Drosophila melanogaster: one gene and its partners. The protein of the gene in region 2 interacts with the protein of the main gene of each other region in a pairwise test. Each region holds a gene or a part of one and is shown on either strand. Other genes may lie near its edges.

The links.
Region 1: the proteins of Zasp52 (region 2) and egg interact in a two-hybrid assay, tested with the Drosophila melanogaster proteins (one study listed by BioGRID).
Region 3: the proteins of Zasp52 (region 2) and Zasp67 interact in a two-hybrid assay, tested with the Drosophila melanogaster proteins (one study listed by BioGRID).

Annotation. Positions count from the first base shown.
Region 1 is NT_033778.4:24,775,598-24,786,676, reverse strand, and holds the start of egg (eggless), read left to right. Parts: upstream 1-6,775; 5' UTR 6,776-6,863; coding exon 6,864-7,802; intron 7,803-7,860; coding exon 7,861-7,978; intron 7,979-8,049; coding exon 8,050-8,333; intron 8,334-8,386; coding exon 8,387-8,642; intron 8,643-8,704; coding exon 8,705-9,210; intron 9,211-9,268; coding exon 9,269-10,030; intron 10,031-10,101; coding exon 10,102-10,818; intron 10,819-10,876; coding exon 10,877-11,079. Other genes in the region: key (kenny), read left to right, coding at 1-75, 134-438, 582-941, 994-1,122; CG3589 (uncharacterized protein), read right to left, coding at 1,277-1,365, 1,417-1,876, 1,934-2,043, 2,097-2,260, 2,316-3,022; TyrRS-m (Tyrosyl-tRNA synthetase, mitochondrial), read left to right, coding at 3,248-3,384, 3,452-3,784, 3,837-4,411, 4,470-4,658, 4,717-4,877; CG3594 (uncharacterized protein), read right to left, coding at 4,967-5,719; Lcp9 (larval cuticle protein 9), read left to right, coding at 6,308-6,319, 6,376-6,642. UniProt on the Drosophila melanogaster protein: Histone methyltransferase that specifically trimethylates 'Lys-10' of histone H3 (H3K9me3) in ovary. H3K9me3 represents a specific tag for epigenetic transcriptional repression by recruiting Su(var)205/HP1 to methylated histones.
Region 2 is NT_033778.4:15,810,379-15,821,457, forward strand, and holds the start of Zasp52 (Z band alternatively spliced PDZ-motif protein 52), read right to left. Parts: upstream 4,540-11,079; 5' UTR 4,351-4,539; intron 1-4,350. Other genes in the region: CG33465 (uncharacterized protein), read right to left, coding at 8,850-9,211, 9,267-9,394, 9,466-9,514, 9,571-10,089, 10,179-10,342, 10,394-10,439, 10,509-10,707. UniProt on the Drosophila melanogaster protein: Regulator of cell matrix adhesion having two related functions, one upstream of Actn organizing the Z line and the other downstream of integrins regulating assembly of integrin adhesion sites.
Region 3 is NT_037436.4:9,792,695-9,803,773, forward strand, and holds the start of Zasp67 (Z band alternatively spliced PDZ-motif protein 67), read right to left. Parts: upstream 4,994-11,079; 5' UTR 4,833-4,993; coding exon 4,734-4,832; intron 2,069-4,733; coding exon 1,917-2,068; intron 1,310-1,916; coding exon 833-1,309; intron 721-832; coding exon 471-720; intron 241-470; coding exon 1-240. Other genes in the region: Ilp1 (Insulin-like peptide 1), read left to right, coding at 5,740-6,204; CG32052 (uncharacterized protein), read left to right, coding at 6,477-6,552; Ilp2 (Insulin-like peptide 2), read left to right, coding at 7,070-7,232, 7,306-7,556; Ilp3 (Insulin-like peptide 3), read right to left, coding at 8,921-9,108, 9,181-9,355; Ilp4 (Insulin-like peptide 4), read right to left, coding at 10,954-11,079.

The DNA of each region.
Region 1 (11,079 bases), 9.0 Mb from region 2:
TCTGCTCGTTGCAGGGCTCCGCAGAGGAAGTAGTTAAGCTGCAGAACATGATGACCGAGTACCTCGCGCTAAAGAGTGAGCATTTTTTTCCCGTAAAGTAATATACAGCAATAATATGCCATTATCCGGCCAGGCACACTTGACAAGGTCAACCAAACCATGCTGAACTACCACAACCTGACTCAACAATGGCGCCAGGAAGCCGCCGACCGAGAACACCAGTACAAGGAGCATGTGAAAGAGTGCCAAGCGCAAATCGCGATCCTTCGCGTGGAAAACCAAGAGCTGAAGAGGGACCTAGAGACGAAAATCGAGCAGATTGAAGGGGTTCATACCATCAGGCTAAAGGAGCAGGATGAGCTTCGTAAGAGCGTATCTGAGAAACAGTCCCTGATCGACAACATGCGCGTGGAGATTGACAAACTGAAACAGCTAAATGTATGTCTACCAGTTGCTCCAAGCGATAGGGCAAATACTTGCATACAGACTCGCAATCATTGCTATTCTGCATTGTAAACTGGACAGTATCTCTTTAAAATATTCTCTTCCGGGCTCGCACCCTTTTTCTTCTGTTATTTCAGCACTCGTTTGAGTTCGTACCAGAGTATGCAACCGAATCAAAATCCCAGGAGCTGATAAAGAAAATGCAGCTGGATATTAACGAGCTGAAGGCCAGGGACATCCAGAAGCAGGAGGTGATCAAAGGTCTACAGATCCAAAACGATATCTACCGCAGGGACTTTGAAATGGAGCGGGCAGATCGCGAGAAGAATGCCGGAGAGAAAGATCAGTATCTTATGGACTTGCGATCATTGCAGAGGAGGAACCAGGAGCTTATCGAAGCTCTGGCCGAGTCCCACAAGGCAAGCAAGGCGTGCTCGACCGCTTCTCCGCTGAGTTCAAGCAGAAGCAATTTGCGAGAGGAGCAGAGACCAGTAAGAGTACGCTGATTCCAAAGTCCATAAATGTCAATACTAATTTTTGTATCGGTAGATTCTCGACCCAACAGGCGCCTCATCCCGGACTTCAGACACCACTTTGCGATGTCCGATCTGTTCAAAGTCCTTTAACGCCTTAAGCGTGCTTCAGAGTCACGTTAACGATTGTTTGGATAAAAACTAAGCACAATTTCTTACCATATTAATAAATTTATATATATATATATATTTTCTTTTTTTACAATATCTTGTTTAATCTTAAAAGCCTGGCTAACCGGCCATATTATATAAAAACACTAATTACAGTTTCGTTAACAATGAACAATGCACGAGTCTCCTCAGAGTTTGCTGCGAATGGGGGGCATTTCCAGAGACCACACGCGGTGTACATCTGGACTGGCTACCAGGTTGCTAAGCACATTTAAGTCTGCAAAGAATTAAGATAAGCTAGAAACCATCGATTCGACATTCTGCTCACCGTTGGTGCGTGCAAACTGCTGCAACGTGTTGCGGATATCACAAATTGGAATGGCTGTATTTATGTTTGGGTAGACGACGTCGTCTAATTTAATGTTGGACACACAAACGCCTAGGATGCATCCATTCTGGTCGAACATCGGTCCTCCACTTTGGCCCGCCTGCACGCTGCCATCGGACATAATGGCCCCGGTGTCGCACTTGATGACCCTCCCTTGAAAAATCGAAGGGTTGAAGTCGTGCCTGAAGCTGAAGTTAACGTAGTAGGGAAACCCGGCGTTGTACACCATTTGCCCGACGGTGGCCGGACTCCTGGCCAGTCGCACGCAGCATTGCTCCGGCACATCCTGCGGAGCTGTGAGTAGAGCCAAGTCGAAGGGCTTATCGCTGTCCGGATTGCACCAAATCACCTCAGACTGGAACTCGCGATCGGCAGCACGGCAATTAACAGTCTCAATGTTCTGCGTGAAAGACATTATTTAGTGCGCCAAGGTTTCGGGCAGCCCATGCTTGCATACCTGTCCCACCACATGTGCACAAGTGAGGATAAAGCGCTTGTTGTGTACTCTTATGAAGGTCCCGGTACCTTGTTGACCCGCCGACTCTATGACCACAATGGTGCGCTCCCCTAGAACGGTGTGTAGTTACTATAAGAACAACGTGGAATTAGTCTTAACTTACAGGCAAAGCTCGACGGCTCTCGACTCAGCTGGAATGCTGTAGTAGACATGCCCAGTTGTTCCATAAAGTTGCGCAAAAGGTAGCCAAAGTTTGCGGCCAGAGTGAGGTTGACGTTTTCGTGATGGCGTTGAAATGAGGTGCATATCACAATGCCAACGAGCCGCCTGATAAACGGAAATTTTTGGTATATTACGGTTTTGTAACGTATTCATCACCTACAGCTTGTTGTTGAACACTGCAGAGCCTTCACAGCCCAGGGGCAAAGCGTTTGAAATGGCAAACAAGCAGCCACTTCGTCCCATAACATTAGACACCTTTCCAATGCTGATGGTCTTGTAAAAGTTCTCCAGGCCAAAGGGCGAGCACATGACCAGCACGTCGTCCAAAGTGTGCATGGGCTGCAGGTATCGCAAGTAGTTAGCGATGTGCGCGAGGAAGCGCTTGAAGGACTTCTCCTTTTCGGGCTTCCGCAGGCCCAGCACCACGAAACTGGAGCGCAGCACCTCACCCGCATCGCCGGAGTCAGCGGTGAGTAGTATGTGGTGCAGGTTGCGGCAAACTTCGTTCGCACAAAACACGTACAGCGGATGGGCAGTGAAGCGGGAGAGGATGTGTGGTTGCCTCGACCCAGGTGCTGCGATTGGCCTCGGCCGTCGTTGCTGCGGATCGAAGGTGGCCACAAAATGTAGTGAGCGGATCTGCGCATCCTCTTCCTGCTCCTCATTCTGAACATCCAGCAGTTGACCCCTCTGCAATCTGGCAACAATTGCCTTGTTCTGCGCTCCTTTGTCCCCGTCTACGGCCAAATGTGGTTGCAGAATGCTTCCAGAACTGATGATGAGTTCGTTGTTAATAATGATCGCGGACTGTTTTGCAGCCGGTGGACTGGTGACCTCCAACAGGGCGTGGCGTATCTTCAGCAGCATTATCTCTAGATTTGATTATGAATAGCCCCTTGTCATGGAAAACTGCGTTGGCTCCAAATGGAACCTTTGTGTTTGGACTCCGATGTTGCCATTCGCAGCGACAACCAGCTGTTTGCAAGCCAAAACAAGTCAGATTTTGTCATTCACCGCGCGCCGATCAGCTGATGGCTCCAACCTCAAAATCAGTCCCTCTAGGAATTTAAAATTTCCAACGAACTTCGCATAATGCTGCCTCTGCGCCGGAGTTTGCTCAAACCGCTCCAGGATGTACTCCGACATAGCCACCGCCAGATGTCGCAGAAGAACCTCTTGGAGCTCACAGATCGAGGCTTTTTCCACGGCATATTTCCTGATACAGCGGCGTAAGTATTGGACCATCTACAAAGAGAGAAGATTTCCATTTTATCTATGAAAACCGCTGCTCCACAGTCCCAGGATGAAACAGCTTTTTACCAGAGGCCAACAGAGCATCTACGCAGGATTCGATCCCACCGCTGACAGTCTACACGTGGGCAATCTGCTTGTAATAATGGGCCTGATCCACTGCCAAAGAGCCGGCCACAGACCTATTGCCCTAGTAGGAGGAGCAACTGGACTCATAGGGGATCCCAGTGGACGCAAGACAGAGCGCAACCAACTGGGCGAGACGGTGATCGAGACCAATCTAAAGGCTATCGAGCAACAGCTTCGCCGGGTGTTCGAAAATCACGAGAACTGCCTTTGGGACTCTAAGAAACAGAAATTGCCACTGGCTCCCCTAATGTGAGTGTGTAGCCTACATCAGGTCGTGTTAATCTCTTTCTAATCTCCGCAGAATCGTCAACAATGCCGACTGGTATGCGGACCTGCAGCTCATCGACTTTGTGGCCAACATGGGACGACACTTTCGCATGGGGTCAATGCTCTCCAGATCCTCGGTGCAGTCCCGCCTGGAGTCGGAGGACGGAATGAGCTTCACCGAGTTCACCTACCAGATTTTCCAAGCCTACGACTGGCTGCACCTACTGCGCCGCCACAACTGCTGCTTTCAAATGGGAGGCTCCGATCAGACGGGCAATTTAATGACTGGACACGAGCTTATTAGCCGCGTAGAGCGAAAGCGAGAGGTCTTCGGGCTCACCCTGCCATTGGTCACGACGGAAGAGGGCGATAAGTTCGGCAAGTCGGCAGGCAATGCAGTGTGGCTAGACGGTAACAAGACCTCGCCTTTCGCCCTCTACCAGTTTTTCCTGCGCATGCCAGACTCCGAGGTCGAAAAGCTCCTGAAGCTGTTCACCTTCATCCCGCTGCCCCAGGTGGAGCAGTTGATGCGGGAGCACACGAAGGAGCCCGAGAAGCGGAAGGCGCAGACTCTGCTGGCTGAGGACGTGACTCTGCTGGTTCATGGAGGTTGTACTCTATATCATTGTTCCTTTATATCAGTAGTATAGAAGTTTTCAATTCACAGAAAGTGGGCTGAAGCAGGCGGAACGTGTGACCAATGCCTTATACAAAGGCAACGTGGAGGGTTTAGCGGAACTCAACCTTTCCGAGATCCAGCAGACTTTTCAGGGTGCTACTATGGTGAACCTGTTGACCGAGCCAGGAATGTCCATCCTAGAGCTCGCCATGAAGGCGAAGTGCTTTCCCACGGAGAGTAAGTTATCTTTCTCTTTGGAAATATGGGGCATAATCGATTTGTGATCACTCTTTAGCGGATGCTGTACGCATTATAAACGCAGGCGGATTTTACGTTAACCAGAAGCGGGTGCAGAATATCGCCGAAGTGCTAACTACGGGCGTGCACATCCTGCGCAACGGAATTTCTCTGCTGCGCGTGGGCAAACGCAACTTCTATATTGTGCGCTGGCAATAGTTAACAGTAAACCTCTTATCCGGTAATGTTAACTTTTAATTGTTGTTAAATAATCATAGAATGGCTTACATTGTAAGAACTTATGCTATTTATGTGGGTCTGGGGGCGGGCTTTTTGCGCCACCGCTTTCGCGCCAGCATTTCCTTGGCCTTCTCCTTTTTCAGGTCCTTGTCGTAAAACTTGCCGCTCTTCGTGAAGGTCTTCTGCTCGTTGCGCATCTCGGCCAGCTTTCGGTTCTTCTGTTTGATGATGTTCTTCTTGTTGGCCGACTTCTTCTTGCCCGCCTCGGAGATCTGCACCTTGATGTTGCGTCCCTGCAGCTCTGTGTTGTGCAGCTGGAAGGCATTCTGGAAACTGCTTAGGTCGGCCATTTCCACAAAGGCGAAGCCCCCTCGTCGCTTCTTGGGAATGCGGATAGACTTGACCGTGCCTGCCGCAGAGAAGTGCAGCTCCAGGTCGTCCTTTGTGGTTTCGAAGTTCAGGTTCGTCACGTACAGGACGTGTCTGTTGGTTTTGGAGGCTCCTCGAAGCAGTGAACTCAGCTGGTCACTGGTTATCTGCCCATTTTCCGCAGATTCCTCTTCCTCGGCTCCGGAAGCAGCACTGCCCTCAGCGGCTGCCTCGTCGTCGGACTTGGCCTCATCCTCGCTCTTACTATCCTCCGGGTCACTGGGATTCCGTCCGTCCTCCTTGTCCACATACGTGCCCTCGAAGATCTCCCTTCGCTTCTGGTCATCGAAGTTTCCCAATAGATCCGCACTGTCGTCGTTGACTGTGCGTTGAACTCGCTTGGGATTGAAGAAAGCCTCCACCTCATAATCGCTGCCAGAATCACTGGCCATCGTGATATTTCTGGGGGAGATTGCAGTGCACACCGATACGCAGACACCACCACGTGGGATTCCCTCTGAATGGCAAATCTGTGCGGTCCCAGACATTTTCCAGCACTGGCTAATTGCGCGCCAAGAAATTCAAATCCCAGGCCATATTGCAATCGCAGCTTGTTAGAAACCGGTTGCAACTGCGGGAGCAAAATCAGACTGCTAATGGAGTTATGCGAAAATAATGCTAATCGGCGTTAGCATCGAAGGAACCGGTTAGCTCTTATCAGCTAAAAATTAATCGTGCGGTGCTGACAATTGATGAACGTGGTTGTTTTGGGAATCTTCCGCACAGATCTCCAAAGATAACCCCCCGAATATGATATGCCGAGTGGGGCGATAATTAATGCCTGCAGAATGACTGCATCTATGTCTTTTGTTTAATTAAGACAAACGACCGCTGGGAGCCAGTTATGAAGAAAATTTATGCAGTTGGTGATTCCGGCCGGTAAAATGTCAGTGGAGAGCTACATATAAAAGCGCAATTTTCGGCAACCAGCAGTCAAAATTTTATCGCTATCTATCAGCACACACATCCCCTTTCCAACCATGAAGTTTGTGGTAAGTGGCATCGAAATTAGATTTTGGGGACCTCTGAACAACGATTTGTCTTTTAGATCGTTCTTGCCTGCCTTTTGGCCGTGGTCTTCGCCAACGAGGAGGCTGATGTTGTAAAGAGCGACTCCGAGGTTAACTTGCTGGACTTTAACTACGCTTATGAGCTATCCAACCATATTCGCGCCGTGCAAACTGGAGCCTTGAAGGAGCACGACAACTGGGTGGTTTCCGGGGAGTACGAGTACGTGGCCCCCAACGGCAAGACCGTCAAAGTGGTCTACACCGCCGATGAAACCGGCTACCACCCAAAGGTCGTCGAGGCCTAATGAACAGGACCCACTCCCGAAGACCGAAATAAAAAATTAAATCCATTGCAGCAGCGAACATTTTGAATTTCCGTTCTTTTTCTTTTGTGTGAATAGACACTCTTCTTCTTTCTGCCACTAAAATCTAGGGCTGGCAAATTACGAGCGAAATTTTATACAATGTTATCGCTTGTCTCGCAAATTTGCATTAATGTGTAAAGTTAAGTAAACTCATTAAAACTATGTCTGGGCAGCCAACAGCCGTGGACTGCTTAGAGAGCAGTGGAAGCACAGTGGAGGATGTCCAAGAAACACCGGCGTCGAGGGAAAAAAGTTACGGGTTGCCGGTGCGCAAAGGAGAAAATAGCTTGGAGTCTCCTGCAGAACAAGCCGCAAAGGATGTGGAAATTGAGGAACTGACACACAGTGAAGCAATCGCCGCCACCGGTTCAACCAGGAAGCAGTGCCCATATGGAGGTAAGGCCCCTGATGAACCTGGAAAGTTGGCCGACGAATCGGAGGACCGCAAGGGAGAGAACACGAAAGCCATTGCAAGCAGCCCGGTTTTGGTAGCTGTGGATTCGGACAGCAGTGTTGAGCTAATAGAGAGTCCTGTCAAATTCTCCTCCGCCAACGAAAGTGAGAAAGATCCGCCAAAACCAGATGCTGTCAATGAAGCTGCGGCTAAAGAGGCCGAGGAAATGACTGATAGCAGCATCAGCAGTCCCACATCCGAAAGTTTTCCTGAAAAAGATGAAAAGACCAATAAGGAAAATGAGCAAGAACCTCCTGGCATGGAGGTAGATCAGGACGTCGAGGAGTCAATAAGTCGACCAGCAGAAGAATACAAAATTGAGAATACATTAAAAGGTCACAAGCGTATTAGCTTAACGGAAATCGAAGAACACAAAATTGTTGATAAAAAAGACGATGTCCTAGAGGTGGAGCTTGAAAAGGGCACTGCTCCGAAAGCTGCAGAAGACGAGAAGCTGAACGCTTTGTTATCAGATGGAGATGTCTTCTACGACAAGGAATGTGTCAACTGCAATTGCACAAAGCTTCATAAACAGTACGTGTTGGCTAACATGGCCACTTTAAACTTTTACCAGGTGCTCCGAAAGTCTTCCAAGCAGCAGTTCCTCTGCATGGGATGCCATGACACAGCAATGGACTTGTATGAGGTCAACTAGCATATTTATTAACTTAAGAGGGAAACTTAGAACGTATTTCTTTATTTAGGAGTATGCTGGACAACTAATGGCCAAGCAGCCGCTGCTGCTAAAGGATTTCCATCAGGATCACGCCGACTTTGTGGCTCTGGACAGCAGCGATGAGGAGGAAGAGGAGAAGCAGCCAGGTGAGACTGCTATCATGATAAATAAACAATAGCAAAAAAAAAAACGTACTAAATATATTTTATCCGCACAGAAAAATCGGACTTTTCGAAAAACAAGCTGCAGCTCATCGAAGATGAACTCGATGATGCCATCAAAAATGTACTTAACAAGGTGGATTTTACGGCTCAGCTGTCCTGGTCAAAAACTATTCTCCAGGCGAAAGCAGACCACTTGGAGCGACAATTCGCACTGGCAGATGTGGAACTCGAAAAAGTTCAGACCACCGCTGACAAAATGCACTGCGCTTTGTATAACTCGTGTCCGGTGGCACACAAACATCTGCCCACCCTGGACATTGAACCCAGTGACTATGTGGTAAGTAAGAAGTGATGCCGTTTGGATCTGATTTAATACAACCATTTACTCAGCATGAAGTTCCACCTCCTGGCGAAATCGTGCGTCCTCCAATACAGTTGGGAGAGACATACTACGCTGTTAAGAACAAGGCTATTGCCAGCTGGGTGTCCATAAAGGTAATCGAGTTTACAGAGAGCACCGCCATCAACGGAAACACGATGAAGAGCTACAAGATTAGGTACCTCAACACTCCGTACCAGATGATCAAGACAGTGACGGCCAAGCACATTGCCTACTTCGAACCACCGCCAGTGCGACTGACCATTGGTTAGTTCCCAATAGACCGGTTATTTATCAATCTATAAACTAACCCACTCATTGTGCACTAGGTACCCGCGTGATTGCGTACTTCGATGGCACCACTTTGTCGCGGGGCAAGGATAAGGGCGTGGTGCAGAGCGCCTTTTATCCAGGCATCATCGCTGAGCCGTTGAAGCAGGCCAATCGCTACCGCTACCTAATATTCTACGACGATGGGTACACTCAGTACGTTCCGCACCGCGATGTCCGTCTAGTTTGCCAGGCTTCCGAGAAAGTGTGGGAGGACGTACACGCCGCATCGCGCGATTTCATACAGAAGTACGTGGAGAAGTACTCCGTGGATCGTCCAATGGTGCAATGCACCCGGGGACAAAGTATGACCACTGAATCGAACGGGACCTGGCTGTACGCGCGCGTCATTGACATCGACTGCAGCTTGGTGTTGATGCAGTTTGAGGGCGACAAAAACCATACGGAGTGGATATACAGGGGTTCATTGCGCTTGGGTCCTGTCTTCAGGGAAACCCAGAACAATATGAACAGTTCAAGCGCACAGCAGCTGCGTGTCCCAAGAGTAAGCATCGTGTCGATTCATCCTGCGGTCCTAACTACAAAATGTCTTTCTTTTTCAGCGCACGGAGCCCTTTATTCGGTACACCAAGGAGATGGAGTCCAGCAGCAAGGTGAACCAGCAGATGCGTGCCTTTGCCCGCAAGAGCAGCGCCTCCGCCCAAAATAACGCATTAGCGGCTGCATCTTCGGCAGCAACCCCAGCCGGAGGACGCACCAATGCAGGAGGTGTCAGCACCAGTAATAGCGCAAGTGCTGTGCGACACCTAAACAACTCGACAATCTACGTGGACGACGAGAACAGGCCCAAGGGCCATGTAGTCTACTTTACAGCCAAGCGGAATCTGCCTCCCAAAATGTACAAGTGCCACGAGTGCAGCCCGAACTGCCTCTTTAAGATCGTTCACCGTCTGGACAGCTACAGTCCGTTAGCGAAGCCTCTGCTTTCTGGCTGGGAACGTCTTGTCATGCGGCAGAAGACCAAGAAGTCTGTGGTATACAAGGGACCTTGTGGCAAAAGCTTGCGCAGCCTGGCCGAAGTTCACAGGTACCTTCGAGCTACTGAAAATGTGTTGAACGTAGACAATTTTGACTTTACGCCCGACCTCAAGTGTCTGGCCGAGTACTCCATTGATCCCTCGATCGTGAAGGACACGGACATTTCAAAGGGGCAGGAGAAGATGGCGATTCCGCTGGTAAACTACTACGACAACACCCTGCCGCCCCCATGCACCTACGCGAAGCAGCGCATCCCTACCGAGGGTGTTCATCTGAATCTGGACGAGGAGTTCCTCTTGTGCTGCGACTGCGAGGACGACTGCTCGGTAAGACGTCTTACAGATCTGATTACCTCAAATTATACCCAGCCGCCCACTATTTTGTGTATCCCTATCAGGACAAGTCAAAGTGCGCCTGTTGGCAGCTAACGGTGGCGGGCGTGCGGTACTGTAACCCGAAGAAACCCATCGAGGAGATAGGCTACCAGTACAAGCGGCTCCACGAGCACGTGCCCACCGGCATCTACGAGTGCAACTCGCGCTGCAAGTGCAAGAAGAATTGCCTGAACCGGGTGGTGCAGTTCTCCCTAGAGATGAAACTGCAGGTGTTCAAGACCTCAAATCGTGGATGGGGCTTGCGCTGCGTTAACGACATCCCCAAGGGTGCTTTCATCTGTATTTACGCCGGCCATCTGCTCACGGAGACGATGGCCAACGAAGGCGGACAGGACGCCGGCGACGAGTATTTCGCGGACTTAGATTACATAGAGGTCGCTGAACAGTTAAAAGAGGGATACGAGTCGGAGGTGGACCACTCGGACCCGGACGCCGAGGAGGACAACGGGGGACCCGATGCCGAGGACGATGACGACTTCCGGCCAAACTATCACTACCAGCGCAAAATCAAGCGCTCTTCCAGAAGCGGCTCCACGCAGAACAGCTCCACTCAGAGCAGCGAGTTGGACTCGCAGGAGCGTGCGGTGATCAACTTTAACCCAAATGCTGATCTGGACGAGACGGTGCGGGAGAACTCGGTGCGGAGGCTTTTCGGCAAGGACGAGGCGCCCTACATCATGGACGCCAAGACAACGGGCAACCTTGGACGCTATTTCAACGTGAGTTGGAAGTTTTTTGTTATTTTGCCGTGTGGCTGATTCTCTTCTTCTCCCGCAGCACTCGTGCAGCCCCAATCTCTTCGTGCAGAACGTGTTCGTGGATACTCACGACCTGCGTTTCCCCTGGGTTGCCTTCTTCTCGGCCGCGCACATCCGCTCCGGCACCGAGCTGACTTGGAACTACAATTACGAGGTGGGCGTGGTGCCCGGCAAGGTGTTGTACTGCCAGTGCGGGGCCCCCAATTGCCGCCTTCGTCTGCT
Region 2 (11,079 bases):
GCCCAAAAATCGAACCATTGATTTTAGAAGTAGTCATTTTTAAAGACATTCTTCGCTGAAATCTATCTACATATGTATGTATGTTTTTTCTATCCAATCGACCGAACGCATTATGCAGTCAATAAGATTATCGGACTGAAAACTGCAGAAACAGACGGACAGCGCATGGATTTGCCATTTGATTTAACATTAATGAACAAAATGAAATTAATTGAAAACTATTTTCATTCTGCCTCTTTGTTTTTTCCCGCCGTTTTATTTTTTTGTTGGTAATTACCTTTTGTGCATAATTGCTGGGCTTTAATGGGTTAACAAAATGCGATTAAGCGAAATGCAATTGCGAAATGCAAATTTTTCCTCATTCGGATGATTGGAGAGCATATCTCGCAGGCATATATCCCCTATTCACTTGGCCTAATGACAGGCGGCAGATTGAAACTGGCAGATAAAGTCGACACAAAGGACGGGCGGCCATAATTCTCCATCAAAAAATGGGAACTCCAGGAGGAGACACACTTGTTGCTGCCCCGCCCCCTTTGAACGGCCTGCCCTGGTGACAGTTTACAAAGTGCTGCAATTAGGGCTGACAAAGTGCCCGGCTCCTGGTCTCCTCGATTTCTCCTCGGCTCCTCGATTCCATCTCGACTCCTGGATGCTGGGAACATTGTGCGAACACCCGAATGAATTTGTTAAGACCACTGCCCGCTCGCCTGCTCTGTTGGCAAGCGAACAAGTATCTGTTGGATATGAATTAATCAAAGACTAAATAAAATGCTTAGCATTTGCATTTCACCCCGTTTCAACAAACAATTTGTCAGCCTTCGTAATGGACAGAGGCAAGTGTCACAGGCGGATTCTTCTTTTAAAAATACATCAGAAATGTATATAATTCATTTGGCCGAGGCAACTATTTCGGTGACGGACGCACACCGCTGTTTTTCTTTTTTATTTTCTTCTCGTTTTTGGGGTAATTGGAGCTGCAGTTTGGTCAGCAGGGGTTAAGGCAAAGTAATTTTCATTGAGATGCCGCCCTACCTTTCGCTTTCGCCAATCACAAATATATATATATTTTTTTTTTTTTTTTTTGATATTTGTGACTTTGGCATTGACGTCTGTCTGCAGGGGCTGTCGATCGAAATAGACTTGGCGCAGAAATGCCCCTCGAATATTAGTTCGTCGGTGGGCGGAAGGCCAGCGTTTTGAACTATTTTTCCAAGGAAAACTCGAGCGGAATGTCTTGGCTTACATACATATGTATTTAAAATCACCAATCGCCCGTTTAAACGCCACCAAATGTCGGGCAATTAATTCTCGATCTCGATGCCGAAAAAGAGATGCACGTAAATGCTGTTGTGATTTATGAGCGCGCGCCGCACGAGATTTTATAATTTGTTCAGCGCAACGTGCATGGCCAAAATAAATATTTTCCCTTCGTTAAATTCATAAACAAAACTCTGGAATGGATGGGATGGAATGGCATGGGTATGAGATGCCATGCGGGTTTCCCCACTAAAACCCTATCCCAAAGTGCCGACTCAATCGCAATCTCTCGATGGGTTTCTGTGGCTTTTGCCGCGGCGATGAAACCAAAAATTGTTTGCCAGTCACGTTTGTGGTGCAGAAAGAGCAGTGGCAGCAGTGGTACCCATTACCCATTTAGCAAAAAGTAAAAAAAAGGGGTATGGGGGGGAGGGTTCAGACAATTCGAGTTGCGTTGAGTCTGCACTTCTTCGTCGAAGATTTCGCGTCTGTGGGCGTTTATTTTCAACGCACTGCGGTTATGTAATTGCGAGGCGTCGGATACGTGATTACTTTTAGTCAAATTGCCGCTCGAATATTGTGTAATTCCGCTCGACTCCGCTCGCCTCCTCCACTTGCGATTTCATATCTGTGCGAAAGTGTGCCATCGCAGTTGTTGGCCAGGCGAAAGTGATTAACTTGTTGGCAGAAGTTAAGGTCAGGGTTGCACACCTCACAAGTGCTTTTTAAGTGGGAGCAATAACAGAGCACTATAACTTAGTAAATCGATAAGGAGAGCTAATAGTATCAGTCTGTATAGCAATAAATGTATTTATTTATGCTATATATTGGGAAGTAAACATTTGAAGAAATTGTTTCTTTGCTGAGATGATATCATTGGCTGAAATAGCACACCTTCTTTCCTATAGCCAAGCACTGCATTTAAAAATTCATTATAGAAGTTCTTTTAAAAGCCATATAGCATATAGCATATGAGATTCAAGATCAGAAGGTCGAAAGGGGTCATATCTCAATCTACTCCTACAACCATTCCCAGGCAAGAACCTTCCATTAACGTATGTTTAAATATTCTTGAATCATTATCATCGGTCGGGTTTTGCGTTGTTTCGCCACCTTTTTTTTTTTTTTTTTTTTTGTTCTTTTGCTCTGAGTGACATACGAACCCTGAAGAATAAACAAAGATACAAAGATACGAGAGAAGTGCTTGTCTCAGCAAAAGGAAAGAGAATGCAATCTACCATGACAGTTCACGAAGGTTAAATTCTTGAGAAATGATTTGGTGGCAATCGTAGAGACCGCAGAGAATTTGCAAAAAGCAAAAGCGGCCAATGAGAGAGCGAACTAATTAAAATATACGCAAAGCTGTTTGAAATTTGTAGAGCATGTCTCCCCTTTTTTGCCCCATCGCTCAGTCCCCCGCGATGGTTGCAATATGTGCACGAATCCGAGTCAAGTGAAGCCAAGCCATGAAATATTGTCACGCACCCAGGAACGGAATGGGATAGGATAGGAATAGGATGTGCACGAGAAGTGCCATTCTAATGAGCTCAGCTACATTTCCACGACGGCCTTAATTTACGATTCCCGGCCGAGAAGGAATTTGCTAGTATTTTTCAGCAGTGAGAAAAAATTTAGATACAATTCTGTTTACTAAAAGAACTCGACTTAAATAATTAAACGAACAGTCAGCTCTTTGTTTTCGGTGTATTTTCTAGTGCACCCATCATCCTCTGCGTAATTAATTCCGCCCTGGACTGATAAACCCCAGTGTAAACAAAGACATTTCATTCATCGAAAAAGTGGTCAGTGGCAATGGCTATTAGCTCATTCAAGTTTATAGAACCACTATCTTATCGGGCATTGATTCACGGATGTTGTGAGGCGTTGTAAGATTGATTCGGTCGAAGTGGCGATTGCTTTACAGCTATTATTGGTGAGGTGACCAAACATTAGTTTAATCGCTAGATAACAAGGTGGGTGATTAATCGATTTCGTCGTTTTGTTGGGGTTCACTGAACCCAGGCTAAAAGAAAGCCAGAAGATAAACGGACACAAGAACAGGGCGAGTATCAACAAGTTTTGGTCATGGCTAAATTACATCACAGGCAGACTGCTGGTGGCCTGGCAGGAATTGGAAATGGCAAATGGAAATGGAGAGCAACCACTGCGTATACGTGATGTCAGCGGCAGTGAGAGTGAGCGAGAGCTGGCGAGGTAGGCAGAGAGAAAAGGAGAGAGCGATTGCTGAAAATCGCTGAAAATAGATCAGGCGAAGAGGAAATCCGAAGAGCAGCCACGAAAATCGCAAACGAAAATTGCCAAGATAACGAAAGACACTTTTCGAGGAGGCGACCTAGAGAGCTGGTCTGGCTTCATTAATATGCGATGCTTTATGCTGTCGCCGATATATAGTCTATATAGCGCTCAAAACGTTTTGAAAATGTCTCAGAATTTGTGGCGCCAAACCGCAGCAATTCGAGCATAGAAAGGAGGCGCAGGAGGTGGTGGCCGCCACATTCGCAGCACTTTCGCAATTTGTGTATCTGTATCTGGCAGATATTGTATCTGGCGGATGGCTGCTGGCGAACGGCGCTGACTGACTGACTGAGCGAGAGTATTCGGAAACAAATCCAATCCGCGCAGCCATTTCGAGGAGCTATAAATAAACTCACCTTGAAAAGTTTCTAAAAATTTTCTCGCTTTTTGACTATATAATTTTATTCAATTTCAACGAGCCGAAGATCTACAACGTATCTGTATCTCTGTATCTGTGCTCTGGCCAACAAATGTGATATATGCGTCAAAAGAAATTCCCTGGATCGGCGTGCCAAGAAAATTATTTACCAATCGCCTATATTATTCGCGCTGAGTCTTCGGTTTCGTAAGGGACTTTACTTGTTGTTAACCTTCACAAAATGCACACAAGTCACTATTTAGTGGACGAATGGTGAGGGAGAGGGGCGGTGACTGTCTCTGATATTGATTCTGATTCATCAGCGATCCTGGCGAATCGATTGCGGCAGGCTATTGTATAACCAGCTGATTTCTACTTAACCGAATGTCTGATTTCACATGCGACCTGGTACTGACCGATTTATTCCGATCGGGTGGCTTTCTGCTGGGATTCGATTAGATTCGATTCGATACGGTTTCGATTTGATTTGATTTTTACTGATTTGGACTTGGATCTCGGTTTCGTATATTCGTGACGTTTGTGGTGCACTGCCAGTTCAGTTCTTGGGCGACGTTAACTAAGCGACGATTTTCTCTCAACTAAAGCAAAAACCGAAACCGAAAATTTTTATGTGCATTTTGTGCCGTTTTCGAATACAAAAATCTTTTCAACCACATCGCTGCCGTCGCAGTCGTCGTCGCTGCCGGCGTCGCTGCTTTTGGGCCGTGCGAGAGGCAGTGGCAGTGGCACAGTCTGGCTATATAGCATCTATATAGACATTGTCGGTTCTCAATTCCCAACCGATACGACGGCAGAGCCGCAAAGCTACAAAACGCCAGACGACGGCGACGGCAACGGCTGCCAATGTCTGTCTGGCTTTTGTGGCCCACTGTTTTGTTGTTGTTCCTGGTGCGGGCTATTCTTTTTGTTATTTGGCTAATTGTTTGTATTTTGTTTTCATAGCCAAGCTTTTAACGGCGCAGCCAGCCAAATGCCCATGTGCAATCAGTCCGTTTCGGGGCTGTAACTTATAGTAATCCTATAATTACATCTAGTTAAATGGGATAAACAATTTGCTGAAGGGCTCAAGTACAATTGCCCAAAAAATAAATCCTTAAGTAGGATAATTTCATTATCTATACTTTAGATATACATAAAGTTTCAATGATCTCATATTATTGTTTCTTGTCATGAATGTACTATGCGTATGAAACGCACATTTGGCACATCTCTTTGAAGTTGAAAGCAAGTGCAGGTGCTGAACTATTTCCCGTGATCTGTTTTCCTCAAAACCACAACAAAGTGTGCAGCTAAATGGGAACAACAACCCCGAATAATCTGGGGAATTTGGGTCACAAAAGATCCTAAGTGCGTGAATCAGCGGTGGTGACTCCATCCGAGCTATGATCCATCCGATCCATTATCCATTTCTCAATAAACAATTAATCATTCCGTCGGGGTCACACATCCCTCATACCCAATGCATGCTTCTTTTAAAGATCGCAGGTCCAAAAACATACTCTCGCTAAAATGAAATTTCCCTAAATTGAATTTCCAGTGCATGAAAAGTGAGCCATAAAGCATTAATATGTTAAAATGTAGCCATAGCGCAAAGCTTACAAAAATAAACGCAAATATGTTTTTGCCAGCGCTGATGTGCTCAATCAAGCAGCGAAATGAAACGAAACGAATTGAATCGAATCGAGGCAAACAATCCACCAATCCACCAAAAAACAAAAAAAAAATGGACAGGAAAACATGGACGACTATGTAGATAAATATGTATAATATAATATAATATTTGGATGTTTTATGCCGCGCGTATTTGTGTCTACATCACATCACATAGCGGGTGGCATAAAAAGCTCAGGCGGGTTAAACAAGAACAGCAAACAAGTAAACAAATAATAATAAACCAACCCGCCACCTAACTATGCCGACAAAAAACATTTCGGCTTTTTAATTAAATCATGTTGAGTGGCAAAAATGATAATAAAGAATCTAGCGCAATTCAATCAAAATCACTAACAAAAAACACTGTTCTTGCGGTTTTTTATTACGCATTTCGGTCAGGCGATTAAGATACGAAATACCGAGATACGGGCGTAATTAAGTTTAAAGACCGCATCTCGGCGATCTTTCGTTTTTATGTTTTAATGACAACGGTGACAACGGTTAGTTACACAATAACTTGCGGTTAACACTTTTGCTTTTTATACCAATGCGGTTTAATTGCTTAAATCTGTCTTTGATATTCGGGGATGCTGAGTCAACGGTCAAGTTTTCGGAGCCATGAATCACACAATCGAGCCCTGTGGCTCGAAACCGGCTCTTCGCGGAGCCGTTTTTTTTTTTTTTTTTGAAAACTTTTTGGCAGGAGGCCAGCACAAACAACAAACAACGAACCACAAACAACAAATCGCCAAGAAACTGGCCAAGACACTTACACTTCCTTCACTCGCACTTGTTGGATTCGCAAGCGGATTCGTAACGTTCTCTCTCTCTGCGAAAATGAAAAGCGTTTGGGGGACCGTGACCGGGAGAGTTGTTTCTGGATGTTTTGAGCACTTGAGTGAATACGTTTGAGTTCCTCGACACTTCTTGGTCTTATATCTTTCGTTCCGGGTTTATATCTTTCTGTTCTGTTGTTCTGCGAGATACAACCGCGCGCGATCGTTGCGTTCGAGCGAATGAGGGCTGGGATCGGGATCTCGACGACGACGGGTTGTTTGGAGTCGCACTGTAAGACGAGCGACTCACACAAATACTCCCGCTCACCCACACATCCGCACGCTGCGCTCTCACTCGCTCTCTTCTCCGCTCAATCAACAGGTAAGTGGTTGGCCAAAAGGTGCGCAATTGTATCGGTATCCGTATCTGTATCGGCCAGTCTATGTGTATCTGTACCTGTGCATGTGTGACACTCGTGTGCGGCACTTGCTGATAAGATAAGGCCAGAAAAAGCCGAATAGAGCAAATGCAAATATAAACAAACACCGGGCGCAACCATAAGCCATGAATTTCGCAGCCAGTGATAATGGCATTCGAGCCATAAATTCAGTTTTCTGGTCTGGATCAATAATTTGAGCAAGCTAATTTGCAGCAAATAGCGCGACTTTTGGCGAGCTGCAATTCTATATTTAGGTTGCATGCCACATCGCACCGAAACTGGTTCCTCCAGTTTCCTGATAATCTGGGTGACGGCTACACAACCCAAAACAACAGCGGCCCCAACACAACACCCTGATTCTGGACGGGCACAAAGTCTGATTTTCCTTTTTAGCGCCAAACAAAAATCAAAACAGTCGGGAAAGCGGCGATTTTCGCACACCCTCTAAACCTTTTATGCGTACTTTTCTGAATGCAGTTACTTTCCTTGTAATGAATGAGCCAACTTAACCTGCTTATCAAAGCTGATTTATAAAGAATATCTATATATCGCAACAAAATACATACTCTTCAAATTAAAATAAATACATTTAAATTTAAAAATCTAAAACTGGTAACTTTCTTGGCAAACCGCAAAAACTCTTTGTGAGGGCAACAATTCAGCAAATGCAGTTCCTCCCAAAAAAAAAAAATAAAAGAAAGACATGAAAAAAGCGATCAAACTGCGCAGTTGGCCGAAACCGGTTGCCGCCTTGCAGATCGCCTGCTTCATGCCCTTTGCTTTGCAGTGATATTGTTGACCAAGAGCGAGAAGCGGGCCAACAAAACCCCGTCTCCCAGCAACTGGAGGTGAAAAGAACAAACAGAAACCAAAAGTGCTAGCCCCATGACTTTGGCTAATGCACGCGAGAGCGGTAGTAAATCATTTGCCAGCTATTTTGTTTGATCAGTCGACAGAGCGGACTTCTGGCCCAAAGACAGACCGGCCAACAGAACCCAGCCAGAGGAAGCGACATCGCGCAGTCACTCTGAAAATGTCACGCATGCGCTGTCGGCATGCGCGTAATTGCATTGAGGATGTGCGAGGAGGCCAAGAGGATGTGCCAACTATATAATCTAGTGGGGGACGCATTTGGCTTTACAATTTAATGAGCGCTTAAATAAAGAAATTGCATGGGAATAAGCCGCAAAAGACATGAAAATGTGTGTTGTTGCTTAAGTACACGGTACTTTGTGTGCCAAAATGTATTACCATGAAAACAGCTGTGCTTTACTATTTATCGATTTATAAATATTTCTAAAAAAAAAACATTTATGGATGAACCAAATAACCTGCAAACGCTTTTTAACAATGCTTATTTTAGTTTAGTTTATGTTTAGGACCTAGACTATTCACATACTGGGCTCCAAAATTGTGTTTTAAACTGTATGTTGGACACCTAGCGTTGACTTACGAAACCTTCATAGTTTACATTCATTTTACACAAATGCAGCGCCACCTATGCGGGCACAGCTATAAGCTACGGATTGAGTAAAAAAAAAGTAACATGATAATATAATTAATTTTATCTAAATAGAAAGAAGTGAACTGCAGACTGGGTCTTATTTTTTATTTATTTTCAAAATAAGCAAAACATTTTGCTACATAATGTGATAAATATTAAATATAAGGCTTATCATTCATACTGGTTCATCGATGTTATTTATTCCTGATTTGTTATTTAACCATTCATAATTGTTTTAATGATTTATAAAGGTGTAACAGATATTCAACATGAGGAGCTAGCAATGAGTTTTTATTAAATTTTTTTTTTAATTTATGCCGATAATATGCACTTCTCATCACCGCAATCTTATACCAAAAAGTACATTTATAAATTTAAAAGAAAATCGTAAGTATAAACTCAGATTTGCATTGATAATTTTTATTGCATTTTTGGAATGATATATTTTATATTTATTCATTTCATCATATTAAAAATATTTACGAAATGATTTATTTTATAGTTATTTATTTATTATATATTTAATTATAATAAACTTTATCCATTATCCAATCCAAATAGCTTTGTATATAGGTGTAGACCACCATGCCGTCCTTACTGTAGCTCATTAGGCCAAAAAGATAGTACCTATTACCATCGCCGATATTTCTATATGTGCCTATGATTGAGCCTGGCGCTTGAACTTTAAAATCAATAGGTTGTGCGACACAAAATTGGTTACTTTTAAGTGGTTTCCCAATTCTTCTGGCGCATTCAATGTGATTGATGGCGTTCAAAGTAACATTCCTGACGCCTCTGAAATCATTGGTGGTCTCATCCACAAGTGTAGTTAACATCCTTGGCAATTTGGGACTTGGGACAATGCAGATTGGCTTGACAAGATCTAAATTAAAAGATTTTTAAGATCGATTAAGCGTTCAAAACTGAATCTTTTTTACCTGAGTTTGGCACATCGTGAGCTAGTTTAAGCAATGCAATATTGTTGTCCATTGATGAATGCGTGAATCTGGGATGGGTATGGATCGATTCCACGTCGAAACTTTTGAGATATTTGGTTTCCACCTTCCTGTAAGAAAAAATTTAAATAGTTAAGCAGAAATGTTATAAATTAATAACAGTCATATAATTTGTACTTACATTACTAAAGGAATGTTAGGGAAAGCACTGGCCACCGTCAAGACAAATCCTTTGAAAAGAAACACAATTAAAAAATTGAACTTACTATTACTAGATAGAACTTACTATTCGTAATAAGCACGCCAGAGAAAGTATTCTGATGCAGAGATACCTCCCACAGGCGAACAAGGACATCCTCCGCCCAGTTGCTCCTGCATTCTTCGTACACAACCTGATCACCTTTAGTTTCGAAATTCCTGACAGTATTATATATCCAGTCCTTGAAGGCGACAACATCTGTATAGACGCTAGTTGGGCTGCACAACTCGCTGCCGTAGCTCACCAATCCAACCTGAACGGTGATATTTTTTACGCCGTAGGTGAAATCAGCTGTCAACGGACTGCCGGAGTTACTTCTACAGAAACTTCTATCCCTATTGCCGGCGCAGAATTGCCCCTCGTTAATGGGCAACAACTGACCATTTCGATGGCACTCAAATGGTTTTTTCTGAGAGAGATATACGGTCTGCCTCACTTGGCTGGATGCTTCTGTTCCTTGTTGTTGCCATCCAAAGCCCTCAAACCTTTCAAATGGTGCTGACTTTACCACATGATCTAATATTATACAAATCGGGCGGATGTGGGCTGCAGGTGGAATAAATGTATAAAGTAATGAGTAGTTAATATCAACAATAATCGTAATATTATTTGAGCTATTACATTTGTTAGCTTACCATAATGCGTCACTTCACCGTAAAGTCTTAAAAGGCCTATATCGTTGACGCCATTGTTTGGGCGGAAATTGGAATGTTGCAAAGCAACCGCCACTCCATATTGTTCGTTGTTAAAGAATTGTGATGCATCCCTGTATTGGTTGTACATCCCGAAAAGCACGTACCTTCATAAAAAAAAGCTCAATCGGTGAAGCTAGCACTGGAGTTCTACTTACAGTTGACTATCTTTCGATATGCAACTCGCGGCCGTTAGGACGAACACTAAAATCAGATAGTATTAGTATAAACATAACTTTTTGCTGGAAATTATGTAATTGATTTTTTACTAACATTTGTGAACAAGCGTTCCGTCGCAAATAAATTGGTTATTCTTGTATATGCTTGCCATCCAGGGTGCGGTTTCAGTTGCACCATGATTGAAATTTATATTCTCTGAAGTTTTTGGATCGTGACACTTTTTATCCAGCAGTTGTGCTAAACCCTGGCAGAGCACTAATCCGATCAGAGCTAACGAAAGCACACGAGACATTGTTCTCGAACAAATTACCCTGTACGACTGACTCAAGAACACATTGTATTTTCAAATACAAGCGAAACCACCGATGTGCCTTATCAGCAATGCTACACATTTTCTTAAACTGGAAAGATATTTATGTTAAAAGAAGTAGAGTTTCTCGACTATCAGAAGAAAAAATAAATAAAATTTAAACGGTTTTCATAAGAGTGGGCGTGACAGTTTAGGTCGATGTATGGGCATTAGAGTAAATATATTTCATAAGGTCGAAAACGCCAACTTATTCCTGTGCCCTGATTTATAACGAGTCTGGCATACCCATTTTACCTTACAAGTAAAGGGTGTAATAAATAAAAAACATTCCAAGTGGCGCCTCTAGTCGTTGAA
Region 3 (11,079 bases), on a different chromosome or scaffold from region 2:
GATAACCACTTCCGGCTCGCAAACCTCCTTGGGGGCATCACTCTTCTCCGGCTGCTCGTCCGGCAATTCGGTCTCGGGAAGTTGCTCCAAATTCGGCACCTCACTGTCCGTGGGCAGTGGTTCCTCATCCTTTTCGGGCTCCGGTTCGGGCTCCACCACCTCCTCCGGCACTGGTTCCTCTTCCTTCTTCTCCACTTCCTTGGGTGGCGTTGCTTCTTTTGGCGCCGGCTTAGCTTCCGGCTGTCACACGTAAACACAAATTAACTTTTGATCTTGGTCAGCAAATAATGCACTGAGAGAAAATTTAACCCAAGAATCTACGATTTAAGATTAAGGAACTTTTTCTTAAAAATTAACACATCTCATCACTTTTGCATCTTAATCTTAAAGTTTTGTTTTGTGCACAAGCTTCTTGGGTTAATATTCTCAAATTTCGTGCAGCTTTCCTCTGAGTGCATTCACTCACTCACCATTGGCGACTTTTCCCGTGGCGCCGACTTAACAATCGTCACCTTGTAGGCATTGGCCGCCCGTCGTTCCGCCTCCAGGGATTGCTTGCTCTTGGGAACGGGGCGATTGGGACGCTGCAGGAAAGTGGACCATTGACGGTTCTCCTTGTCCTTCTCCAGCTTGGTCTTGGTCACCTCCTCGTTGAGGGAGCGCAGTACGTCGCTGGACATGCAGACGCCCGGCTTTGGGAAGATCCTATAGAAATTGACGCTATCATATGGAAGTGGTTAAAAGAACTCGCCCGCATAGCATGCCAACAAATGGGGAAGTAGTCAAGGAGGGAACTGGCGGGAGAAATGGGTTTAAATTGAATAGTACGCACCCAAGGACATTGTGCTCCTTGAGCACCTCCGACTCGCCGGACAGCACGGCTGCAATTTCCTCCTCCACCAGCTTAATTTCCTGCCTTTCGGACAGCGCCGAGCACGGACGATCGGGTAAATCGGGCAAGTAGAGATTCTCGACGGGAAGGCCTCCTTCATCTGCCTGGCCTGGTGCATCATGCCCATTCACATCCCCTCGTTTCTCTTCCGAATGCACTTCCGACATGGGTTGGCGACATTCCGCCAGGACATCCACGTCCACTTCCACAGCAGGAGCCGCCATAGTCGCAGCAGCGAGTTCCCGGGGTAGCGGAACGAATGGCTCCGGTTCCGGAGTACGGGCATTTGTGGTTTCCGTCAGCTGGGACAGCGATGGAGTCGGCGACGGTGAAATGGTCGGCATTGGTGACTTGGTCAACGAACCCTCGCTCGTGGGAAACTTCTTTAGGCACTCGTAAGCGTCCTCCTCGTTCTCCCTGCACATGGATCCAAGTGACCAAAAAGTGAGCAGAATTTATGAACATTAGAATTAATTCCGTAACGTGGAATACCTGAGATGGAGCCCTGGTTTCGGGGACACTCTAAGAATAATTATTCATAACCCGAAAAAGTTGAAATACAAACTTAATTCAAATAATATAAATTGCTTCTAAAATGGTAGGGTAATTTTCAAAACTAATGGGGCTAGGTGGGTTTTTGAATTTAACTTTTCTTAGTTTATAATTATAATAAAATTAACTATTATGATATATTAACCAAATGTCATTTTACCCAGACAACTTTTTAAGAAAGCGCTTTATTTTTCCAGAACTTTATTCTTAAATCACGAAAATTTGTCATATTTTTTCCATTTCTCTCGAGGTCGTTTGTGGTTTGTGAATTTCTTGAACAAGTAGATTACCTTGAGCAGGGGCATGAGGAAACGTTCTTGGGTTGTTAGCCCGCTCAGCTGTGATAAATGGTCCTCGGTGGATGGGATACAAAGAGTAGTAGTAAAGGAACCGGACAAGGACGAGGACCACGACCACGAGCAGTAAGAGAACGAAACGGAATGGTATGGAATAGAAGGATGGGAAAGCTCACCGGTAGACGCCAAAATAGAAGACGCTTCCACTGCCCATAATGAGGCGGTGGGCCTCGTCGTGGGTAAGGGGCGTGGCAGCCGTGTCATTGATGCGCACGATGATATCCTCGACCCGCAGTCCAGCCTCGTCAGCAATGCTGCCCTCGGTCACCTAACGTTGAAGCATATGGACATGTTTAGATCTAGATGGGAATGCCTAGATATCGCCCGATTCAGATGCGGATATGGGAATGTGGCGATAGAATGAGTGCGAGGCCGAGATAGTCGAGATAGCCGAGATACAATACAATGGGATGCGATGCGATAATGGGGAAATTTCTATTAGCCGACAACGGCGACGTCGCGTGCTAAGTGCATAAAAATAAAACGCGCGCCAAATGTCAACAAAACAAAGACCAGCAGACCCAGACCCCCGAACAGACAATCATACAATCACGCACAAACCCAACAGAACCGAAGACAATGCCCAAGGAGATGGGGGGGCTACAGAGGATCTGTGGGGGCTGGGGGCTCAGAACGAGGGGTGCTCGAGTAGAAGTGGCAGCTCATTAACGACACTTCAGTTAAGCGAGTCAAGTGGAATTACCCATGTCTAACCACTCAAATATTGCATTGTTTCGCCGGATGGAAATGTTTGAGTTGAAGGATGATTCTACATACGTACATATATACAAAGTTATGAGTTCACTTAAAGAGAAGATTAATTTGTAAGGATAGAGAACCAAATATTGCTGATTCCAAAAAGATAAATGTTCAAACAACTCTACCACTAATATTTAAATAGCTTGTAAAAGCTTTTTTTTACAGAAGTTCTGCAATTTTAAAGCGGGGGTAAAAAATAATGTACAACTAATGAAACTTTCTAGGTCATCCAAAGTTCACAATAGTTTTCTCTAATTACAAAATTAAATTTTTAGAAATAAAAACCCACTGGACTAATCGTTTTAATTGGATAATACAATTTATGGCTCTTTTTTTGGAAAATTGGTAAATGTATATTCCGGAAATGGTACCAAATGACCGTGTAAGAGAATATCGTTTCAAAAATTTGCATTTGCCAACATTTATTTTCGCAACTATAAATCAAAGTGAAAATGTTGCGAGAACAATAACAACTAAATACAATATAAGCTTTATGGCTTTTGTGGGTAATAAAGTACAGACAAATTGGCGCAAATTGAGCATATAAATTGTAGGAATTCATTTAAAATGGTTTTGCCACTTCGGCCTTCAAAATTGCCAGCATACGAAGTGAGAATTCATCAAACTAATAGTTATGGATGAATTATGTTTCGCCTTCAAAATGCGAAATATCTTAGCACTCTGTTCAAAGAATTCTATTGCATAATTCAGGCAGTTTTGTAACACTTTCGTGGGCAAATAAACGCGATTGTTTTCGTTTCCGTTATGAGAAAGCAGGGTTCATAACCAGAAAGTCACGACACCGACTGCCAAGAGGACTTAGTAATGCAAATACTGCAAAAAAAAAAAAGTGGTTGGCACAAGGAGCAGGTGGAGGGTTGGAGACTCCACCATTTCACCCAACCAAGTTGAGGGTCTTTCCTTTCAGTCCCAGGGGTCTCTTGCATTTCACTTATGGTAGAGTCAATTTCCAGCGGTGAATTCGCAGAGCAAAAAGCACTCGACATCGTCGGAGGTTGCGAATATTTATAGAACAAAGGCTTTGGGCTTAGCTGGGCCATACATCTATGTACCAGACTGTATGTGGCGAGCAGCATGACGAAGAGTGGTAGTGTAAACAGAGGTTTTTCAAAAGATTACCAAGGATTGTTTAGTGTTTGCAGAGCCAATATGTGAAGGTGTGTTGGCACATTCCATAAAGTAATATGGACTCGAGTCGAAGGATGTGCTTTTTGAGTCTCTAACATGTAGTAAGGAATTCTTAAAAGCGGAGTATTAGTATAAGGAATAAATTAGCTAAGTTAATTTAGGGAGTTCATTGGAATGAAGAACATTCCGGACATTTTTCAGTTTTTTCTCTATCAGCCAGCTTGTGAAGTTAATAATTCATTTACAATAAACTTCCATTTTTTCATGGTATGCATATCCCAAAGCACAAACATTTTATAAATTGATCGGAATTTAAAATAACCCATAGCATAATTTGTTTATGTAAAACGGTAAAAAAAAAATAACCAAAAAGTCAAAAACAATTTATGACCTCCCTTCCTTGACTCTGCGGCTTAAATTGATTTATTCGTATCGAAGGGATGGGATTTTTTAGCGCCCCTCGCATTTCGGTCATTTGTTTTATGCGCTTAGCAGTTTGCCAATTAAAAATCGCATTTGTTTCGGATTTACGACGATGCTATAGTATTGTATGTATTGTATTTTTGTTATTGTTGCTGGTTGCGAATTGTCAACACAATGTTACAAAATGCGAATTGCCAAATGCAATTTATGCACAAACAAAGGACCAACTGCCAGCGAAACACAATTAAAATTTGAATAAGTTTATTGCCGCTGCCATTATGCGGCTCATTAGCGGGAAATGTATGGCCCTGTCGATTAGATAAACAAAAGCGAGAGGAATTACTTTAATTAACTAATTTGCCAATGCAGCAAATCCGAATGGACACACACGCATCGCGGCGTTACGTAATATTGCAATCGAACAAATAAAACTGATTCGAACGTATCGTATCGAATTAATCCAATGTGATTCATCAGCTGCATAGTGAGCAATATTTTCCACTGGTCTATGAACATCCGCCAGGTGAATGGGCTGAGGTGATGCGTGGGGGGGTGGGGGTTGCAGCATATAGATTTCGTTCTTTTTTCGAATCGGGCCTAACCTTAACCACCGTCAGCGGATAATCGTAGTCCGCCCCGCCCACCAGGCGAAAGCCCCAGGGCACATTATCAAATCGGCACATCTTAATGTCGAGCACCATGTTTCCTTGATTTATTCCGACTTTTTTTGTTCGTTTCGATTTTTCCGTTTTCTATCGCGAATTTTCTTCCACTTTTTTTTTTGCTTTTTTTCTAGCTTTTCCGGCACTTTGCGGTCGGTGGGAAGAAGCGAGTGTTTCGAGTGCAGCGCTGGCAACCAACTGTTGGCATCGCCGTGCGTGCAACTCGACAATCGAGTGGCCATGGCGATGGCGATGATGGTGATCGAAGCGATTTCGCACACTGCCGCCGGAGGAGCTTCATCGAAGCATACTTTCCTCCTGGCCACGACATGCTAATGAGGCTGCCACACTGTCAGCCATCGGCCCACATACCCCTTATCCCCATGCCCCACAGATATCTGGTCGTAATCGTAATCGCAATCGACAGCAGTCAGAGCCTCTTAGCGGCAATGTAACAGGTTGGGCGAACGGGTTATGCTTTGAAGTGGGCGGATTTTTTGGCGGTGATTACACTGAAAACTATGCTCGATAAAGCTGTGTGCATCAATTCACACTTTAGAGCAAGTCCCATAAGGCTAACTCTTCTGAATATCTTAAAAATGTCTTACAAATACATTCCAAACTATTGGTATAGATAGATATAGGTAATGATACAACTGATATTTGCTAAGAAATACAATACAATACCCCAACTACCAAAACAACAGTGCATCGCTTTTCCATCCAAATTGGGGAGTAGAGCTAGAAATAGAGTTTGCATTTTTAGGGGAAAAACGGTACCTGAAACATGGGTGATCAAAGGATTTGCAGTTTGTACGCCCGTGGGGCTTGCTATGCCACTGCAATGCTAGACTGCAGAAGAGGCCATTGAACTGCATTAGCTAGCGCTTCCGATTTAGTGGTATAAATACCAGTTGCAGCCCAGAGCATTCACTGCATATCCAAGATGTTTAGCCAGCACAACGGTGCAGCAGTACATGGCCTTCGGCTCCAGTCGCTGCTCATCGCAGCCATGCTCACCGCTGCAATGGCAATGGTCACGCCGACTGGCAGTGGTCACCAGTTGCTGCCCCCCGGAAACCACAAACTCTGCGGCCCCGCACTGTCCGATGCCATGGATGTGGTGTGTCCCCATGGCTTTAATACGCTGCCAAGGAAACGTGAAAGCTTGCTGGGCAACAGCGACGACGACGAGGACACGGAGCAGGAGGTGCAGGATGATAGCAGCATGTGGCAGACACTGGACGGGGCAGGATACTCTTTTAGTCCACTGCTAACCAATCTGTACGGATCCGAGGTCCTGATCAAGATGCGTCGCCACAGGAGACACCTGACCGGTGGCGTCTACGACGAGTGCTGCGTCAAGACCTGCAGCTACTTGGAGTTAGCCATCTACTGTCTACCGAAATAGGACACTTGGCCAACACACACACATTCATTACCCAGCATGCATACACATACATACATACATACGAACACTTGAACATGGCATTCCCACATACATACTATATGTACACCCGTTCTCCTAACAGCATTCGTAATCCAATTCGTAATCACTTATTTATGCAGCACCAACTTTGACTAATGAATAAAAGTAGACAGTGCAAAAAGAAGAATTTGTGTGAGCGGCAAAGACAAGACAGTCAAAGGAAAAGTACCAAGGAGGCGTAATTCGTTGCCAGGATGCTGCTGGCTCCAATCAGCTGGCTCGGGTTCTTGTTGGCCTACTCCGGCCTGCCGGGCGCCCAGGCGCGGATTGGTAAGTATAGGGTAGAAATGGTAGAGGCAAACGGGCTGTAAAGGCGAGGTAACTTTAAGACCAAGGACTTATTTGGTATTCATAAATGCAGGGCTTAGTACGGCCTGGCTGTTTATACATAAATTGTTTAATTGGCTGACAGCAAAACGCCCACAAAGCCCTTCTTCTCCCAAACACAGCCACCCAAAAACCACCCACAATTTTCCAATAGCCATTTGCATAAGTCAGCTTTGACATTGAATGAGTTTAGCCAGGCGTTAGAGAGAAGAGCCAACTCCGGAATGCACTCATCGCATCCTAACACAATTTGACAACCTGACTTTTGAGGATAACATGTGTGTGGATCCAGACCCCGACCCCGAGAGACCGACCCCGACCCAGACCCAGTTTAAGTTTCTTACGAGGCAGTATATAAGCCAGTTACTTTGGGCCAAACATCATCAGTTAGCTTTCGACCCGGCTCGACCCAACTTAATCCATTTGATCGTAAAGCAACCTAAGCAGTAAACCCATAACCATGAGCAAGCCTTTGTCCTTCATCTCGATGGTGGCCGTGATTTTGCTGGCCAGCTCCACAGTGAAGTTGGCCCAAGGAACGCTCTGCAGTGAAAAGCTCAACGAGGTGCTGAGTATGGTGTGCGAGGAGTATAATCCCGTGATTCCACACAAGCGCGCCATGCGTAAGTTCTTACAAGGATGCAGATCCTCAAGCTGGCTTTGCTAGATCTACATTGTATCCACGATTTTTATTAGCCGGTGCCGACAGCGATCTGGACGCCCTCAATCCCCTGCAGTTTGTCCAGGAGTTCGAGGAGGAGGATAACTCGATATCGGAACCGCTGCGAAGTGCCCTCTTTCCTGGGAGCTATCTTGGGGGTGTACTCAATTCCCTGGCTGAAGTCCGGAGGCGAACTCGCCAACGGCAAGGAATCGTGGAGAGGTGCTGCAAAAAGTCCTGTGATATGAAGGCTCTGCGGGAGTACTGCTCCGTGGTCAGAAATTAGGCCTCCTAATGCGAAAATCATTGACCCCAACTGACCTGGTCGACGCGATTATCTCTGGATCTGGTTCCAAACCAACCATGTGCATATATACTACAATCGATGTTTTTTACAGCTTGTTGCATGTTACTCTTTACGAATGATCGAAATGGATTAAATATATATTCTGCTTTAAGCTTTGGCAAACAATCGCAAATGCTACTTTATATTATTATTAATTTGGGACGTTACATTTATTATTATCATTATATGATATATATGTTGATTATTACACTTGAATAAAAAGCGATATAACACAAGTATTCAGAAATCTAAAATGAATATATCTTTTTTTCTATTAAAACTAAATTTATTGAAAACAAAAAAAATCTTAAAAAAACTTGAAACAATTTAAACCATTCATTCATTTCCAAAACTTGTTTCTGTCTTAATACAGTAGGCAATCCAATTGCAATTCAAAAGTTAGTCGCATGTGGGAAATTTCCAAATTTTAGTTCATAGCTTTTTTCGTACTTCGTTTATCGATGATTATATCATCCGTAAAGAAGTAATTGATCAAATCTTATAATCAAAACATTGACTTACTTTTATGTTGACCTTAAAAGTCGAGTATTTCTAGTCGCGGTTGGCCGATTTTATAGCAATACTCATAATTTAATCGTTCTGTGTAGTTGTAAATTAGAAGATTATTACATTTTGAAAGCTAAAATAAACGGAATCAACTAAATTCATGCAGACCTTAAATAACAATCACGCATTACCAAATGCAAGGCATTAAAAGTGCAAAACGGATAATCTTAGTAAATTAACTAAAATATTAATAAATATCGTTTTAAAACTGACCATTTCAGCGTAGGTTTTGAGGGCATTAAATTGGAATGATTTTAAACTTTACAATGAACAGAGTTTGTTAAAAAATCACAGCTTCCTTTTCAACATAGTTGCAAACAGAAATCCGGCCGCTGTTCAATAAATAATTAACTGCAATGAACGACAATGAAAAATCAATGTAATACCCGTTTCATTACCAATCAAGTTGGCCAATCTGCAGCAGTTTGAATACATAATTTATTTAATAATTTATACCCAGGCGATGTATTCTGGCCCCGCACAATCATACATATCTACCATGCATAACATCCCGTGTTCCGATTCATTTCGCGTGCCTGTCTCTGATTTCAGATCATAAATTATGCGCATACATCCCTCTTACATGTGCATATATATCATAAATCCAAAGTTGGAATTGAGTAGGCTTCGATAACGACTTAACAACTATGATTACGTGAGTGCTTTCCCCAATCGGGTCCTTTCATTCCATTTCAATCATCGCAGTTGTCGTCATTGGGTTAATAGGTTTACGAGGTTTACGTTCTCGGCTTGGCAGCACAATATCTCAGCACCTCATCCATGGTGCACGACTTCAGGCAACACTCGTCGAAGACTCCATCCCGAAGACGTCGAGTCTTGAGCATCTGAACCGAACTATCACTCAACAGTCTTTCCAGCAGGGAACGGTCTTCGAAGCCATCGATCTGATTGAAGTTCACGGGGTCTACAGGTGTTAGGTGAAAGTAAAGAGATATGGCACTTTAGTATTCCTTATATCAAGAAAAATCCCACCTACCCAAAGTTCTCTTGGTCATTGCGTTGAAGCCATACACACAGAGCTTGGAGAGAGTTTCGGGCAGTTTGCGGCCGCACAACTTCATGGTGGCCTGGACACCGCCGATCATAAGGATTAGTAGGAGTAGGCTAGGTAGCAGGATCCTCCTGTCCTGACACCTCATCTCGATGCCCATGAGTGATGAAGTGGTGTTTAAGTATGGATGCGTGAATCCCCCGGGGAGTGTGTAGTATGTGTCTGCCAAGTGGCACGGCCTCAACTGTTTGCCTCCCAGCCATCGACTGAGGGTTATATATATGGGGCAGAATCGGATAGGATACGAGTTGGATGTCTGCGGGCTGTATCCAGCGTCTGAGCACTGTCAGCATGAGTCAGCCGTAGTGTCAGTTAGCATCATCCACATATGTAGTTCGCCCTGGTCTGGTCTAGTTTCTCGTGAGGATTCGGGCTGGCATGGGATGTCTGAAATGGTGAGATGATGATGAGCCCGGGGGGTCTGACGCATATCAGCTGGCGTTTGTTTACTTTCTCGCCCAAGGAGTAGCGCACGGATCTGGATTGTTGAAAAACAAAATGACGTGCATCGAGTTCCCTTCGGCAGACGAGGATGTTCATCCATTTTGGTGGGTTCAGAAAGTTTAACTGTAAAGTTTAGCAGTTTAACTATATAGTTCTATGCATACATATTTAAACTCACATTTGGCAAGCTACTAAAAGTAAACTTACTTGAAATATATTCATTGATTAAATAAACACTTTTTCGAATTAGTCATTTATTAAATTTGGAATGTAATAAAAATTACCTAAAGAATAATGATACTTTCAAAACTACTTAAATTCTTTAAATTAACACAAAAGCCATTACGTTTTAACAACACTTTTAGAGCTTATTTCATTCCCATTCAATTAAAAACGAGTGCCAACTTATTCAATTGCTTTTGAGTGGAAAACAATAAAGTCGCCTTCTGTTATCTCATTATCTTGGCTCAGTACCTTCGATACTTTATGGTTTCCCCAAGTCCCTTTTGCCAATGATAAGCCAACTGAGCCTTTTTTCCGTCCGCAAAAAAACAGGTATTAGTATAGATTTTTACCTGTAAGAACGGAATTATTATCATTTCAAAACCCTTCGGTTGAATAGAGTGTTATCTTCGGAAAATCCCGCTACTGATTGGAAGTTGTTTTCTAGTTTTGATATCGCTCCTTCGATAATAACAAAAATTATGGATAAAAAGGAAGCTGTAAATTCGAATCTGAGTGTATTACCGAGTTCGTTTTGTCTCCACCTTTTGTTTTGCTTATTAAAATCAGAACGTCATCTAATTAAAAATTCATATTTTTCATTATTGTTCTCGGAAAACAAGGGCACCGCACTCGAGGTGCTGAATGGCAGCTGCTTGTGGGTGGCTCGATGGTTTGGGTGGCTTCGGGTGGTTTGAATAACAAGGGGATTCCCCATGCCTCACAGCTGGAATGCTGCAGGGCGTAGAATGTAGAAAAAAGCAATGGACTCTTCTTTTGTTTCTGCTGCTGCTTGGAGAGTAACTTTATTTGCCTCCACTAGAAATTTTACAATGAAATATTTGGAAATACGATTACGTTTATAGTTAGGGGTTAAGTGTAGTAGGAAAATGAATTGCAAATAGCCTGCCGGTCGTCGGGTGTTTTCCCCGTGCCGCCACACAAAATCTCAGCCATGTCGTGTTCATCTGGTACTTGGTTTTTGGGATCTGGTTTCTGGTTTTTATTTGTTTTGTTTTGCCATCCTGGTCATCAGGCGCAGTAGTCCAGTATATCGTCGTAGGTGCAGCCCTCCTTGCAACACTCGTGGGCGATGCGTCGCCGATGGCGTCGCAACTTTCGTCCACTTCCGACGGCCGGTGGCACACCCTTCTCCGT